2 linked regions of the Astyanax mexicanus genome follow. The protein of the gene in region 1 purifies or fractionates together with the protein of each later gene. This does not show direct contact. Links are inferred from orthologs where the notes say so. Each region holds a gene or a part of one and is shown on either strand. Other genes may lie near its edges.

Evidence for each region. Proteins that work in one complex are often made in the same cells at the same time.
Region 2: the proteins of hmg20a (region 1) and phf14 purify together in Homo sapiens (affinity purification with mass spectrometry; 3 studies listed by BioGRID and IntAct, counting the BioPlex papers as one, with this or other methods). This does not show direct contact. The link is inferred for Astyanax mexicanus from reciprocal best matches to the Homo sapiens genes HMG20A and PHF14.

The regions. Positions count from the first base shown.
Region 1 is NC_064409.1:44,231,705-44,239,205, forward strand, and holds the start of hmg20a (high mobility group protein 20A), read left to right. Parts: upstream 1-4,487; 5' UTR 4,488-4,627; intron 4,628-5,206; 5' UTR 5,207-5,249; intron 5,250-6,702; exon of another isoform or gene 6,703-6,712; 5' UTR 6,713-6,732; coding exon 6,733-6,798; intron 6,799-7,018; coding exon 7,019-7,228; intron 7,229-7,501. UniProt on the Homo sapiens protein: Plays a role in neuronal differentiation as chromatin-associated protein. Acts as inhibitor of HMG20B. Overcomes the repressive effects of the neuronal silencer REST and induces the activation of neuronal-specific genes.
Region 2 is NC_064410.1:40,950,969-40,958,295, forward strand, and holds the start of phf14 (PHD finger protein 14), read left to right. Parts: upstream 1-4,319; 5' UTR 4,320-4,334; coding exon 4,335-4,374; intron 4,375-5,081; exon of another isoform or gene 5,082-5,161; coding exon of another isoform or gene 5,162-5,162; exon of another isoform or gene 5,163-5,243; coding exon of another isoform or gene 5,244-5,244; intron 5,245-7,327. UniProt on the Homo sapiens protein: Histone-binding protein. Binds preferentially to unmodified histone H3 but can also bind to a lesser extent to histone H3 trimethylated at 'Lys-9' (H3K9me3) as well as to histone H3 monomethylated at 'Lys-27' (H3K27ac) and trimethylated at 'Lys-27' (H3K27me3).

The sequences.
Region 1 (7,501 bases):
AATATTTCATCTATCATCTATTTCTATTTATCATAATATCACACTTCATCAGTGCCTTTCTATACACACAAGCGCCTCATATAGCACCTTTCTATATACCCAATCAAGGGCGTAGGAGTGGGTTTGATATTGGGGGGGACACATCTGCTAATCTAAATCAAAGCCCACCTTACAGCGTCTCAGAACAACATTTGTGGAAATACTTTTAATCACAAATCAACCATTATTTTCTGTGCTTCTGTTTATTATTAGGTACATTCAAGTAAGGGTCACTTTACATTTACTGTTGTTAAAAAAAAGTATGCGTGCAATGTCTGAATTAAATACGTTCATAAATTAATTATGAAAAAACTGCTGAGGTATCACCTAATGTTGAAAACAATATAACAGATTTAATAATAATAATAATAATTATTATTATTATTATTATTATTATTATTATTGACATGTCAATTCTGTTATATATTTGTGTATTTACATTTACGCCACTCTTTTTTAGGGTCCTTTGGGTTTTTTTTTTTTTGGGGGGGGGGGGGGGGGGGTTTCGATTAAAAGTACTTCTTATCATGGTAATCTTTTATGTAAAAGAATGCAACCTTATGTTTCATAGAGATTTCTGGCAGAAGTTAATATAAACATTAGATAACCCAAACCCTCCTAGTCTATCATGAGCTTTTACCAAAGGACCAGATATATTCCATTAGTAAATCTAAGGGGCTAAGGGATACTCAATAAATGATGGATCAGGTGAAAACACACAATTTCAGGGCAGTGATCAGGGTTAAGAAACTGCTTTAAACTACCAACAAAAAGTATTGTACTAAATTCTGGCCATCCACTACATCCAGCTTCTAGGTATCTAGTTTGGCTAGCTAAAAGAATTTTCCTTCATTATAGCTGACAGTAATCCTGTAATCCTAGTCTACAAGTCACAGTGACTATCACAAACTGTATTTAATTAAGCTCACAGTGGGTTTGATCTCTGGGGTTTGATTTGTGTATTTTTAACCAGCTATCAGAAATAATCTTATAACAGTTTACATGGTTAGCTCCGTTACCTTTCTTTTAGAAAAATCGCAGTATATACAGACATGTTTTAACGTCAGCTCGCTTAAATTAAAAACATGCAACAAGAACATTAAAATGCCATATGGGGTGAACATTAAGTATAATAAATATAGTATGTTATATTTTATACAACAGTTAGTTCCGACCTCACAATCTGATTGGTTGAGAAGTGATCTAGCCGTGATGATATTTCATGATAACATCACGGCCTTCTCACACTAAAGTAACAGCGTATATACACAGGACACCCGCAGCAGCGTTAGCTTAGCACAGACTAGAGCTCAGCCGCGGCACGCTCGCCCGCAGCGCTGGCTCGTCTTTCGTGGAAAAAAGGGAACGAAAATCGCTCGGTTAATTCCGTCTTACAGCCAGAACGCTAACCAGCCAGGCTAGGCTAAGCTAAGTTAATGCTGAGCTAAAGCAAGCTTCGCTAACCTAACCACAGTCCAGCCAGCTAGCTAAAACCAACACCACCCAGGAAAATAAGCAGAAATGCTAAAATTCGCGGCTTTCACCTGAAGACGACTCCACGGAGCAGAAGAGGAGAGTATTAGTGTTATTTCACGCTCCTAACGTTACCATCTTCACTATTCCCAATTTTGCTTTCAAGCTAACTTTCGTGGTGTTAGTCTGCCTGAACCATACACTGTATGTAGTTAAGTTGTGGTGGAACTACTTTTTGGCGGAAGGCTCAGTCCATATTAAAGCATATTCAAACTGAATTTCTCAAAGTTCTTTGATTTATTTTCTTTATTTATTTAGTAATTTATTTAGTTGTATAAAAGCAATAGAACACTCGAGGTTGTGTGTTATCACGAATAACATTACAGCTGTGATTTGGTTTGGCTCGTGCCGTAGATCATCAAACTGAACTTTAAGAAAAAAAAATTTATTCAGTTTGAATATGCTTTATTTCGCGATAACACACTCCCTCTCGTGTTCTATTGCTTAAGTATAACAGATAGATAGATAGATAGATAGATAGATAGATAGATAGATAGATAGATAGATAGATAGATAGATAGATAGATAGATAGATAGATAGATAGATAGATAGATAGATAGATTAAAAGAATAAATTAAGTATAGAAGATAGCAGGTATCTATCTATCTATAGTACGTTTTATTATATAACAGTTAAATAATAAACAATAAAGATGTAATTGGAATTTAGTTTTAATTAACAGTCAGTATGAATGAAAAGTCAAAATTGAATCATTGCAACCACATTTTATTTACATGTCATTAGAGAATCTATTTTTTCTGGGAATTTAAACTATCCAATTTACCAATTTGTCCTTAAACCTAAGATGTCAGCACTGGAAAGCAAACTACTAATCACTAAGCCACTGTGCCACCCAATTCCTGCAATTATGTTGTTGTCATTGACGATTTAGTATAACTTAAAAAAGAAAATTTGAAAAAAAAAAACTATCTGTAAACATTTGTCTAGAATTTATTTATACTGCTTTTGAGACAGAATACCACTATTTTTGTTATTTCTAAAAAAAGAATTTTGTACAGTTTGATAGCACACCTCTAACTGACAACCTGACATGTACATGTATACTACTTCTTATTCAAAAGACCATTGCGCTACTTCATTATTATTCAGATTAGTAATTTATAGAGATGATGCATATTGTTGCTTACATATAAAAACGTTTCACTTATGTCAGCTGACATATTTATTTGACTTATCTGGGAAATTCATATTATATTAGAATTTAATGATTATTGGACTACTATAAATAATCCAAAATTCTTTACTTTTAATTTAATTGAAAACAAAAGTTTTTTTTCTCTTTTCCAGTAAAGTTGCCATTTTGAAGATACAAGCCTTTTCTGATTACATTTAAAGACAATGACAGACAGAGCGAGGGAGTTTTGATACAGGGATTTGGAAGAGGCCTGACTGATTTATTTAGAGAATCTTAAAAACAATCACTAGAGGGCAGCTTATTTGGCCTTATAGACAGGCTAAGTTTACTTCTAAACTTAACTATTTTATTTTACTACGTCCACAGGATCTGACTTATGAATGTATGTGTTATTTTTCTTTTGTGTATTTTGGTATCTGACTATAAGCACATTTGATTCTGGTTTTTACAGAACCATGATGAAAATGTCATAAAAAAAAGGATATTATATCATGGAAAAATCTTTAGCCTGGGAAATCACTTAAGCACTATTTTCAGATTAACTGAGATTATATTGTAAATATATATTAAAAGCTATATAGTTATTTGGTTGTTAATAGAATTGATTTATTTGTTAATGCAGCTCTATCCATTAGTTCCTGCTTAGTCCCAACATCACCATTTAACACCAACAAAATGCCACTACAAATGCCATTAATGTAAAATAAATTAGAATAAGTATGTAACGTTGTGTGTGAAAGTTAAAGGAGAAATTTGGTGTGAAATGGACTTGGGGTGAAGTGAAACATGATGATGAGTACAAACTTTTGTCGAATAGTCCACCTCTATTCACCGCTTTTAGCCGATAATCCCAACAGGTTTACAATGCTAGCAAAAGGGGCATAGAGTTCACTAATTTTACAACATTATCACTAATTTTACACTATTAACAAGATCAAAGTAGCTCCACACTTTATTGGTAGAATTCCAAAAGACCTGACATTTAAAATGAGGCACTGAGAGCTTTAAAAGTGCACCAGCAGTTCTTTAAAAAGACTGTTTATACACACAGTACCCTGAGGTAGTTATCCGCATGCTGCCATCTTGAAATTAAGTCATGATAATTTGACTGACAAGCACGAAAGAATAGCTGGGATAAGAGAGCAGACTGCCAAATTAATTCATTGGAAATGCCATAAGCAGCGCTACGTCCCTATCATTAGCACTGTAAGCCTGTTCAGAGCATGCGCTAAAGTGCTGTATTTTAGAATCTGGGGTTGAATGGAGGTGAGATATTCAACAAATGTTCATACTTATCATATTTCACTAAACCCCAAGTCCATTTCACACCGAATTTCTCCTTAAACGCTGCAACTTTGTCCACAGCAGCCATTAACTGTAATGAACTCACAAACAACTCACGTGAATTCCATCACAAGCATTCACCCCATTTATCCCCATTTTATATTGTTTAGTTTATGATGAAGCGCTGATCTGGGGACTACAGTATAGAAAACTACAGGCTGTATTTAACCCGCTGTCTCAGCAGGGGGCGCCAACGGTCACACTGTCAGTTCGCGAGAGAATGCACCAACACCGATCTATATCCCTCCGCCACACAAACTAGTCCCCGGGAAAAATGTCCAAATCGGTAGACTCAAAATAACACATCCCAAAAGCACCACGCGACTCTGATCCAAATACATCTAAACGCACCATTACATTGATCAAATAATCCGCCTTTAGACTTTAAATATATTTCATATTCATAAACTGTGTACATCCGCGGCCACAGCGCCACCAAGCTCGTACCCGTCGCCGTGTGATGACGCCGGACGTGTGGCTATTTGCATTGTTTTGGTTCGTGCAGTTTGTTATTTAGAAAATCTCCTGAAACACTCCGATTTTGTCAGATACAGGTCAGTGACTCTCTTACTGTCCCCGCGGGCTCGCCTGCGCTGCTCTCAGCCCGTGTTCTGGTACTGAAGCGCCGTTAGAAGCGCTGTAGTTCAGTGTAGTGTTGTGGAGCCGCTGCGGTCGGGTCGCTGCTGCGGGTCTAAACACGATGAGCTGAGTTTATCCTGCACGGCGCAGAGACTCTAATAATCAGGGTTTTAATTAGGTTCAGATTACAGTCACAGCTGTAGCTACAGGAGAACTGCGATAACTAGATGTTTCGCAGAGGCTGAATTTGACTTAATTTTCTTACTCGGATTTCTCATTCCACCTTAACTGGTGCAGCATATCCACACAGGCTGTGTCTCAAATTTATACAAATAAAGTATTATGATCGCAGAAAATCACGTATTTATGTCTTAGTCTGTTTCGCTCATTCATATCGCATCCTAGTAAGTTACCTCAGTCTGACCGCATTTATGACAGCAAGTTGTCAGTGTTTTAGTTAGCTAATAATGTTTTTAATGTAAGTGTAATGTGTTTGTAACACAGATTGCTAAATATTGTCTACAGTCTAATGAGACAAATACCTAACGTTACAGGTTCGGACACAGCCACTCGGTGTTTTGGGACGGGCAACAAAAGGTAACGTTAGCGGTAGCTAACGCTAGGTTAGCTAACAAATGTAATTAGCTAGTTAACTACCAAACATGGTTTCTTAGCTAGGATAGGTTAACTAACTTAGTTACATTCTGAAAAATTTAAAGTGGAACTGAAAATTCTTTAACCCATAAGAGGCCATACCCATTTCTGAATATTGATAAGGCACCAAATTCAAAAATAGAGAATATAAGTTAAATAACATTCCAATTTGCAAAAAAAAAAAAAAAATCAGGGAGGCGCCCCCGGACCTGGACTTGGATAGTGCCCTAACTCAGTGTTTCTCAACCAGGGTGCCGGGGTGTGTCCCAAATCACAGGCAGCACTAATCGCGCTAATTGTGACGCGCTATTTTATTTCATATTCCGCCAGCAACACCCCCCGTTCTCACCTGAAGTACTGCGCCATCATCCCCCCCCCCCCGTTCTCACCAGAAGTACTGCAACAGCACCCCCCCCGTTCTCACCTGAAGTACTGCGCCAGCCCCCCCCATACCCCCCCCCCCTCGTTGTCTGAAGTACTGCGCCAGCATCCCCCCCCCCCCTTCTCACCTGAAGTACTGCGCCAGCACCCCCCCACCCCCCCCCCCCCGTAAACTGTGGTGCCTTGACATCTCGCAAATATTTAAAGGGTGACGTGATAGAAAAAGGGTTGAGAAACACTGCCCTAACTTAACTGATTAGACTAACACTTATTTTATTGTCTGCAATGCTGCCAAGACTTGCCAGTTTCGCTGTATAAAAGGTAATAAAGATATACCCAAAAATAAACACAAATAGCAGAATTTTGTGCTTTGTTCAGACTTGGGTTAGTAGGTATAAGTAAGAGGAGTGTGCCATATCGTGTTTACCTCTTCTCATTCAGTGTGTTTAATTTCTTTTTATGATTTTGCGTTGTAAATTTAATATTGAAGTCATTAAAGCTGTACAGGAATATGTAGAAATATTTTGTAAAAAAGTATACTTTTATACTTTAGATTACCACTGAGGAAGTACCACCCAAAAATGTATTATGTATGGTATTATGTTTGCAGATTATGTGATAAGTGCAAGTACTTAATATTCTGCAATTTAGTATTGTGACAGATTGTTTTGCTACATTAAATTGTATTCATGCTACATTATTTATTTATTTATTATTTATATTCATTAGTTTATACAAATTGCTTTGTAAATTACTTTAATATTCAAAACGATCGATTTTTGTTTGTTTTGCTGAATGATTGAAACTGTTAAGCTTACATGAAATAAAACTTTCTTTTTGTATTGCAGTAAAATATTTGTTGAAATGTAATGAAATATTTTTCCATGTTTCTTTTCCATATTACTAATAATATATTTCTTGCAAAAATGCCCTGAAAAATTGTGAAAGAGATACAGAATGTGACCTTATGGTTATTGTATATCGTATGTGTGTGTCTGTGTGTGATGTTCTGTAGTTCTGTTTAGTGTGTGAAGAGTAACAAGATATGGAAGAGCAGAGTGCTTCACCTGGAGCGAACACAGATAACAGCAGCCAGAGGAATGGAGAGGAGGTAACACTGTAATTAATGATAATTAAATATTTTGAATAAAATGAAAGTACATAAAATAATCCATATCAACCAGAATCATTCTCTCTATCAGCATAGAGATGTCTTTTCTGAGTATTCTATCACTGTAGAAGATGCAGATAGAGAGGGATGAATAATGATTTGATTTAAACTTTAAGATTTTGAATTTGGTCTCAGAGACTGTCTTTCTCTGGCCCTTCAGAAACCACGCAGGGCAAGTTGGACTAAAGGAAGGAAGAGAAAGAAGCCTTTAAAGGACAGCAATGCACCCAAAGCTCCCCTAACCGGATATGTACGATTTATGAATGATCGGCGGGAGCAACTGCGTGCCGAGAGACCGGACGTACCCTTCCCAGAAATCACCAGGATGCTTGGCAATGAGTGGAGCAAACTGCCGCCTGATGAGAAACAGGTGAGGAGACTTTATAAAAAAAAAAAATTAAAATGTAGCAAATCGAAAAATATATACATACGAAGAGATTGCTAAGCTGCTGCAAGGCCCTTAACCCTCTCTGTTCTCTGGACACTACAACAAATGCTGCCCATTTCCCTGGGCACATGTGATTCAAGATTCAATTCAAGATTCAAGATTTTTATTGTCACGTCACAGAGTACAGGTGTACATGTGAGTGAAAAACTTGGGTGCAGATTCCCACCAATGCGCAAAGAATAATATTTACAAGAG
Region 2 (7,327 bases), on another chromosome or scaffold:
GCATCTATTGTACAGAATAGTTACAACTGTACTGAGAGATTTTGGAGAGAATTTGCTGGTAATACACTGTATATTTAATATTAAATTAACATTTATTTGACAACCTTGAGCTGTACAGTTGGCATCATTTTCAATTTAAAGAGCTAACAGAAACCTACCAGTTAGTCTATTGATAGTTTCCACACTCGGTGACTAGCCAAACAAATGTCCTACAGCAGCATTAACATATGGGTAGGCCTGTCAGAAAAAATCTAATCTAATCAACCTATCCTACAATATATGGACATGACTTCAATCATTCTGCTGACCATGATATTATCCGTTATGTTTATTAAGCTAAAATAATCTAATAATGTGAATGAGGCAAGATGCCAACTTTATTTTCATTTAAAAAGTGGTATTACTTTATCTATGTATTATTTTTGAAAGATATTTTATTAAATAATATTCCAATTCCAATGTCTAAGTTCACTGTTTTGTAACAGTGATGAGTAAAATCATTATTGTGCTACTGTATTATCATTATATCAGTGGGATAAAATTACATTAAAAAGCCAATAACACCATTTATAGCTTTTATTTTAAAACAATATATCGTCTATAGAATCTGATCATCATTATCATCTTCTGATACCACATTTCTTTTGTGTTTTCTTTCTTTTTATGATTTTTGAAAACATTAAAAGTTATACAGGAACGTGTGTGGAATTATTTTGTAAACTAAAAGTGTTAAACAAACCAGAATACTCTGTACTTTAGATTCTTCTAAGTACCACATTTCACTTTGATGGAAGATCTGCAGACTCTTAGTATTTATATCTCAGTGTCTTCATGAGGGAGTGTCACCTGGAATAGTTTTTTATGCATCTTAAAGGAGTTCCTGGATGTGCTGAACAATAGTTTCACGCTGTGAAGCTCCAGTTTCACTCCAGCTTCTCTGTTGGGTTTAGATCAGGGAATTGTGGAGGCTAACCAGTTGTAGTTGTTTACTACATAATTCCATATGCATCCCTCAACTGTTTAACATTTAGTTCTTTAACATTAATCTACATGTAGGAAATACAATAAATCAACTGGTATGTGTAGTGTTTTTCCTACTGAATAGACTAGGTTTAATTATGTTACTTAAGATTAATCTAAAAGAAATATGAAATCTAGTCTGTGTAGTAAATACCCTTTTCCTAGACTGACAGTTCTCCATTGAAATTAACTTATTGGAAATAAAATGTGACTGTTATTTTATTATCACTTTTGTACTGTTATTTTGTTGAAGGCTTAACTGGCTTGTTTGGAGAATTTAACCCTTTTTATGTGTACTCTAAAGGAATAGTCTCCCCTTTCCAGAGCATCATTTTCCCTTTCTGTAAGTAATGATTTTAATGACAGCTAATTCTTAATTATGCTTACTACTGTTTTTTGACTTAATATCAATGCTTTGTGATAACTAAAGCATCTGCCACCCCACTTGGGTGTTTATGTCACAGAGAATTAGGAAACTAACAAATACACATTTGATGTTACTAAGGTTGGTGGAAACTACATAAGACTAATTGACAGTTGGTTTGCAAGGGACTGTTTTGGGGCACACTGGTAACTACTGCACGTGTTGTGTGTAAGAAAAGACAATTATGGCAAAACCACATAAAAAAGCAAAATAATAAAAAACCTAACACAACATAAAAACATAGCAAGGAAACTAAAGGTCCCTACTTAAAAACATTGAAAAGCCTGTAGTCACACTGGCCTGTTATTGTTGAGATTTATGACCCCTAATATGAGGGATTGTACAGGCAAAAACACAATAACTGTTAACGGCTGTAATGTTGACTGTTGGTTGCCATATTTTCACAAAAAAAACTATATAATTAATCATAAAATATTAGGATATTAATAAATGTATCATTTAACAACAAAAATGATTCCTTCAGTAAGTTATTTATCCACACTGACCTTGTATAATGTGAGACTAGACTGATTTCATATTTAGGCAACATCAACATAATGTACAACAGCAAATACAGGCAATAAAAGAGAGGTGACAGTGATGATGACGTTGATGGCTATGATGATATCCCAAAAGTGTTTTGATGCCAAGAGATAAAAAACGGTTGCTTTCCAGCACAATGCAGTGCCATTTGTCATCGGGCAAGGACAGTCGTAATCATCCCTTTCGCTCGCCTCCCCCATCAGTCTTTCCCTGCCGTGTATCAGGATCAATCTAGGCTCATTTATTTTAATCGTCTCCTGTTTTGCTAAACTTGCAAAGTCAAGGGAGGACAATAGAAACAAACCTTGCTCTGAAAACAAGCCAAAACAGTAATTTCCCCAGTCACACTAAATGTTCTTGCCATTCTGTGTTACACATGCGTATTTCCCTGCATGTCAACCTGTTAGTTTACAGTTTATTTCACAATAAACATGTTCGCCTTTGAACAAAATGATATTTAGCTTGAATTTTCCTCTATTAAACAATCTGTCGAAAATGTCATGGTATGTAAATGAGGGCAAGGTAGCCACCTAACACACGGTCTAATGTTGTCTTTAAGCTCGGTTACTTACCTCGGCCTCGAGGCAAAAATGACCTTTTCTAAAACAATGGAATAATGAAGATCAATAGTTTACATTTGCAGTGTACGACGGGATCGGAATGAATATTCCACTGCATCTGACTCTGACTGAAATTGTGGTGTGGAGATAGTGAAAGATAAGGCATGCTACATGACCCTGTTGACTCTGAATCTTCTGTACTATGAGCTTTTGAGCTGGCTGTGCACACGAGGGAGGCCGGTAGCCATGGTGTTATACTCTGAATGTCAACACTAAGAATGAGGGCATAAATAAAGCAGAAATCAAACCAAACAGAAACGTTAGGTCCACTGAAGCAGTCCTCAGAGCAAACTCCGTATCAGAGCTGGCAGAATTTTTGAAGTATGCTGTCAGAAGAATGATTCACCCATTTTCAGTTCATTTACACTATGTTTAATATGTGCTTATGACGTTCTTTTTTTAAATAACTGTATACAATCACTGTAATGATCAACTGACCTGTAATAGGGAGAATAGTGTACATATTTCATCATGTTGCTACTCCAGGCTTGGCACAATATAACTTTGGAAAAGTAGGAACGACAACACTTGTGCAACCTGTGGGCCATAAAGATTCATATTTGTATGTTTCTGTATTATTACTCTACTGCCTCTGTTGTCATGCTTATTCAACTTTCTGTACCTATCAGAACTCCAAAAATGCACGAAAACCTGTGATTTATGAGAGGTGCAAATTCCCCTTTTCATCTGTAGGGTTAGCCCATGAGCATAAAAATAACATATATCACATGATGCTGCTTTAACTAGCAAGCTGGGTATCTTGCTGGTCATTCTTATCAAGCTGTAAAACAAGTGTCAGTGTTACAGGAATAGCAGCACAAAAGTTGGATTTGAAAAAAAAAAATGTTTTGGTTAAAAAAAACTAAAGTGTACTTGATATTAACAAAATACTAACAAAAAAATGTTCCACTAACTGAGGAAATCATTTTATAAACCAATGTAATGATTAACAGCGTCACTGCGGTGTCTCCAATAATGCAGTTGCTAGCTAACAACAAATTCAATTTTTTCAAGATACTGAAATACTAGTAAAAGTACTAGTAAAACACTGACAGTAAGAAACTTACAGAAGCAGAGTAACTACTTTTCAGAAAACATTTTACTTTCATTTTCACTTTTTACTTTTTAAGTTTTTGTCCCTAGCCAGCTGGCATTTCAACGTTGAATAAACATTGAATCAACATTTCAACGTTGAAACAACAACAGACATTACTTTAGTCATATTTCAAACACATTTCGACGTTGAAGGTCGGCTGTGTGCCAGCTGGGTAATGAAATTTTTTCCTCATACAGTACTTGTGCTTGAGCCAATACTTCAACTTCTACAGAAGTATTTAAAACCCTATTATCTAAAATTCTACCCAAGTAATTAGTGTGAACACTTTTGACAACTTTGTAATTCCCTCTCCTCTGCTTTAATCCTTATAACCCCATTGACGCAAATTGTTTAAAAACTCGTGCATTGTTTATACAGCTTAATTACTCAGAAATGCGTCAACGAACCAGCATGATTCATACATTGTGACAAACAGGGAACCCGTGTTTTGTGTAAAAATAGCACTGACCTCACACTGAACGTAAATGTTTTTGAGAAATATTTTGTGAAATCCACCTAAAGAATATGGCTTACCTTCATATTTCCATGCTTTATTCTTTTATTATAACGCCATTTTTTGTCTTAAATAATCAGCGTGTTTACGTTCACTCCGGGGTCTGAGGTAAATCTCATGACGTTATTGCTGGCGCTGATTCATCAAAAGAATAAAAGTAAGATAATTAAATTATAACCGCTAAAAACGTTTTTTAGCCAATAATATGTACTTTTAGTGCTTCTAAAATATTTTTATGAGGTATGAAATCAAATAATATTTGAATAAACCCAGTAGTGTCCAGATGGTTTTAGCAATATGCATCTCAGAGGTGGGAATATCAAGAAAAATGAATCCATAAAACCTGGTGATGCTCATGTAACGTTATTCTGTCACAGTTATAAGCCATGTAATGAAGTATCATCAAAATCTTTATAATTTCAACTAATATACACTCATATTATTACATATTACTGACAAGAAAACTCTTGTGTGAATTGATTACATTGATGTACATTCATAAATAAGTGGAAAAAAAAACAGGCGCTGGGTATAATTTTGATCAAAAGATGATCAATTCCATGAAGATTTACAAATTCTGGAAACATTTACATCTGAATAATGATATTTTTGAGCAGTTCAGTGTCTTCTGGCATAAATAAAAATAATAGCATGTGGCTCCTAACATAACTATGCTATAACAAGTGAAAGGAAAACGGACAAAAACGGAGAAAAAATACACCAAAATAGGCTGGGGTTCAAAGGATTAAAAAAAAAAAAAAAGTTAAAGCACACCAGGCAGCATATTGGAACACGACCGAAGACGCTGCCTGTGCTTAGTGCCCTACAGTATAAGGGCTGCTGGTAGTCAGCGCTGCGTTGCTATGGTATTGAAAGCTGAGATCTGTGGATGGGGGGTTGCTACGCAGTTCTAAGCACGATTTCTGCGCTCTACGTCAGCACACAGTGAGTACGTAGTACACAGAGTCCGAGAGCAGCCCATTGTACCGCTGAGCGGGCTAGCTATCTGAGACCGAAGCCTAGAAAAGTAGGTGATGTGCTACATTGTGATTAATGTTCTGCAGCAGAAAATGTCATATATGGGTTACTGAGCTGATATTTAAGTGTGCTGCACTTTAACCGGATTTTCTTTGTGATTCTGTGTGTTTTTTTCCCAGGGTTGATTGATGCTATTGCTAGCCAGGGTTAGCTAGTTAGCAGGCTAACTTAGATAGCTGGGCAGCTTTGAATGAGTGAGTTGTAACTGTTACAATGTGTTTGCATGAAGATTACTAGTTAGTAAAATTGCGTTAACTGCAGTTTAACCCTGCGCAATCGTCTCGTCTTTCCTCTACGATTATTGTTTATTTTACTACTTAATTCTTCATCACTGGAGAGCTTTTAGTTAGCTAGCTAGGTTAGCGAACCTATATACATTTACACTGGCTGATATAAGGTTAGCTTAGCTAGGGCTTGAGTGGCTAAGCTAGCCAGTACAAAAAAAGCTTGGTTTTAAACGTCATAAATATGAGTCTTGGTGTCTGATGGTCCTAATATTCTGGTTATTTTCATTAGCTATTTAATCGATTATCGTATACATATATGATTCCCAAGCGACAGTCAATCTGACAAGCTTGCTAGCTAGCCCGTTTAAAAAGGTAAGTTACCTAGTAAGCTAGCTTAGCTAATTAACTAGTGCACTGTTTGTGTTAGGGAACGTTAGCTAACCTAGCTAGCCATTGAAAGGTTCCTGCCTTCTTTAGACTTTGCTTTTGTTATTTATTAAGCAGTTTCCTTTTATAAGAAGGGTTTTCAAAATACCAATATAAAATGTATCCTTTATTACAAGTTAGGTCTCAAATGTCTGTTCCAGCTTGTATTAGCTTTTGGGATATCACATTTGTAAACAAAGACTGGACCGAAGTTTGGATGCTTAAAAAAAATGTATTTTTTCCAAATAAAGTCGTGATGATGAAATTATAATTTATAGCTATAATTAGTTGTCTGCGTAACTATAAATTGGCTAAATTTAACCCTGCTGTTATGTTACTTGTAAATTTGTTTGGGTCTTTGCATTTCAGAAGAAAATGACTTTATTACGAATTTAATGTTATATTTAGCAAAGCTCTGTATACACCTATACAGCTCTGGAAAAAATAAGAGACCACTTAAAATGATGAGTTTCTTTGATTTTACCAACTTGAAAAACTTTAGGAATATAAATGTGTTTTCTTTGTATTTTTTGAGGTCTGAAAGCTCTGCATCTTTTGTTATTTCAGCCATTTCTTATTTTCTGCAAATAAATGCTCTAAATGACTATTTTTATTTGGAATTTGGGAGAAATGTTGTCCGTAGTTTCTAAAATAAAACAGCAATGTTCATTTTATCTAAACATATACCTATGCATAGCAAAATCAGAGAAACTGATTCAGAAACTGTATTGGTCTCTTTATAGCTGTATAATATTCATAGAGAAATTAGTTTTTTTTGTTTTTTTAAAGACTATTTTGCTCAAAAATACTTTTAGCAATTTATGCTGTTAAGGTCTGTACTACTTATGATAGAATGTGTCCCTTGCTACTCTTGTACTCTTATTAGCTCTTATATTGTCACTCGTGAACCTAGAGCTGAACAGTATGAAAAAAGAAAAAAAGCTGTATCACAATATATTTCTAAATTTTGATCGATACAATACAATTCTAATATTAATACAAACAGTACAAAAGCACCAGCCTTGGTGTACATAATCACACACTAATAGAGCTGGGTGATATGGTATATGGGTATAGTATATCATAATATTGAAAGACATTTTTACAATACACAGTATTTATCATATGTTCACTTGCAGGCAAATGCATCAACATAGGCATTTGATGCTATTAAAATACTCTTTCATACATAGAACTGCTGTGCTAGGTGATTTTTTATTATTTTTTGCTGCACTTCATTCAATTAAATCAGATTTTTTACACTGTCATAAAATCTACAGTTGGGTAAGTGTTCTTTAAGTACTGATAATATTATCGATATGCTTATTGTCAATACGATACGAAAATGTATCACAATAAAATGTTGATATATTGTTCAGCTCTTCTTGTACCTTTGTTAACATTTAATTCGCCTCTTAA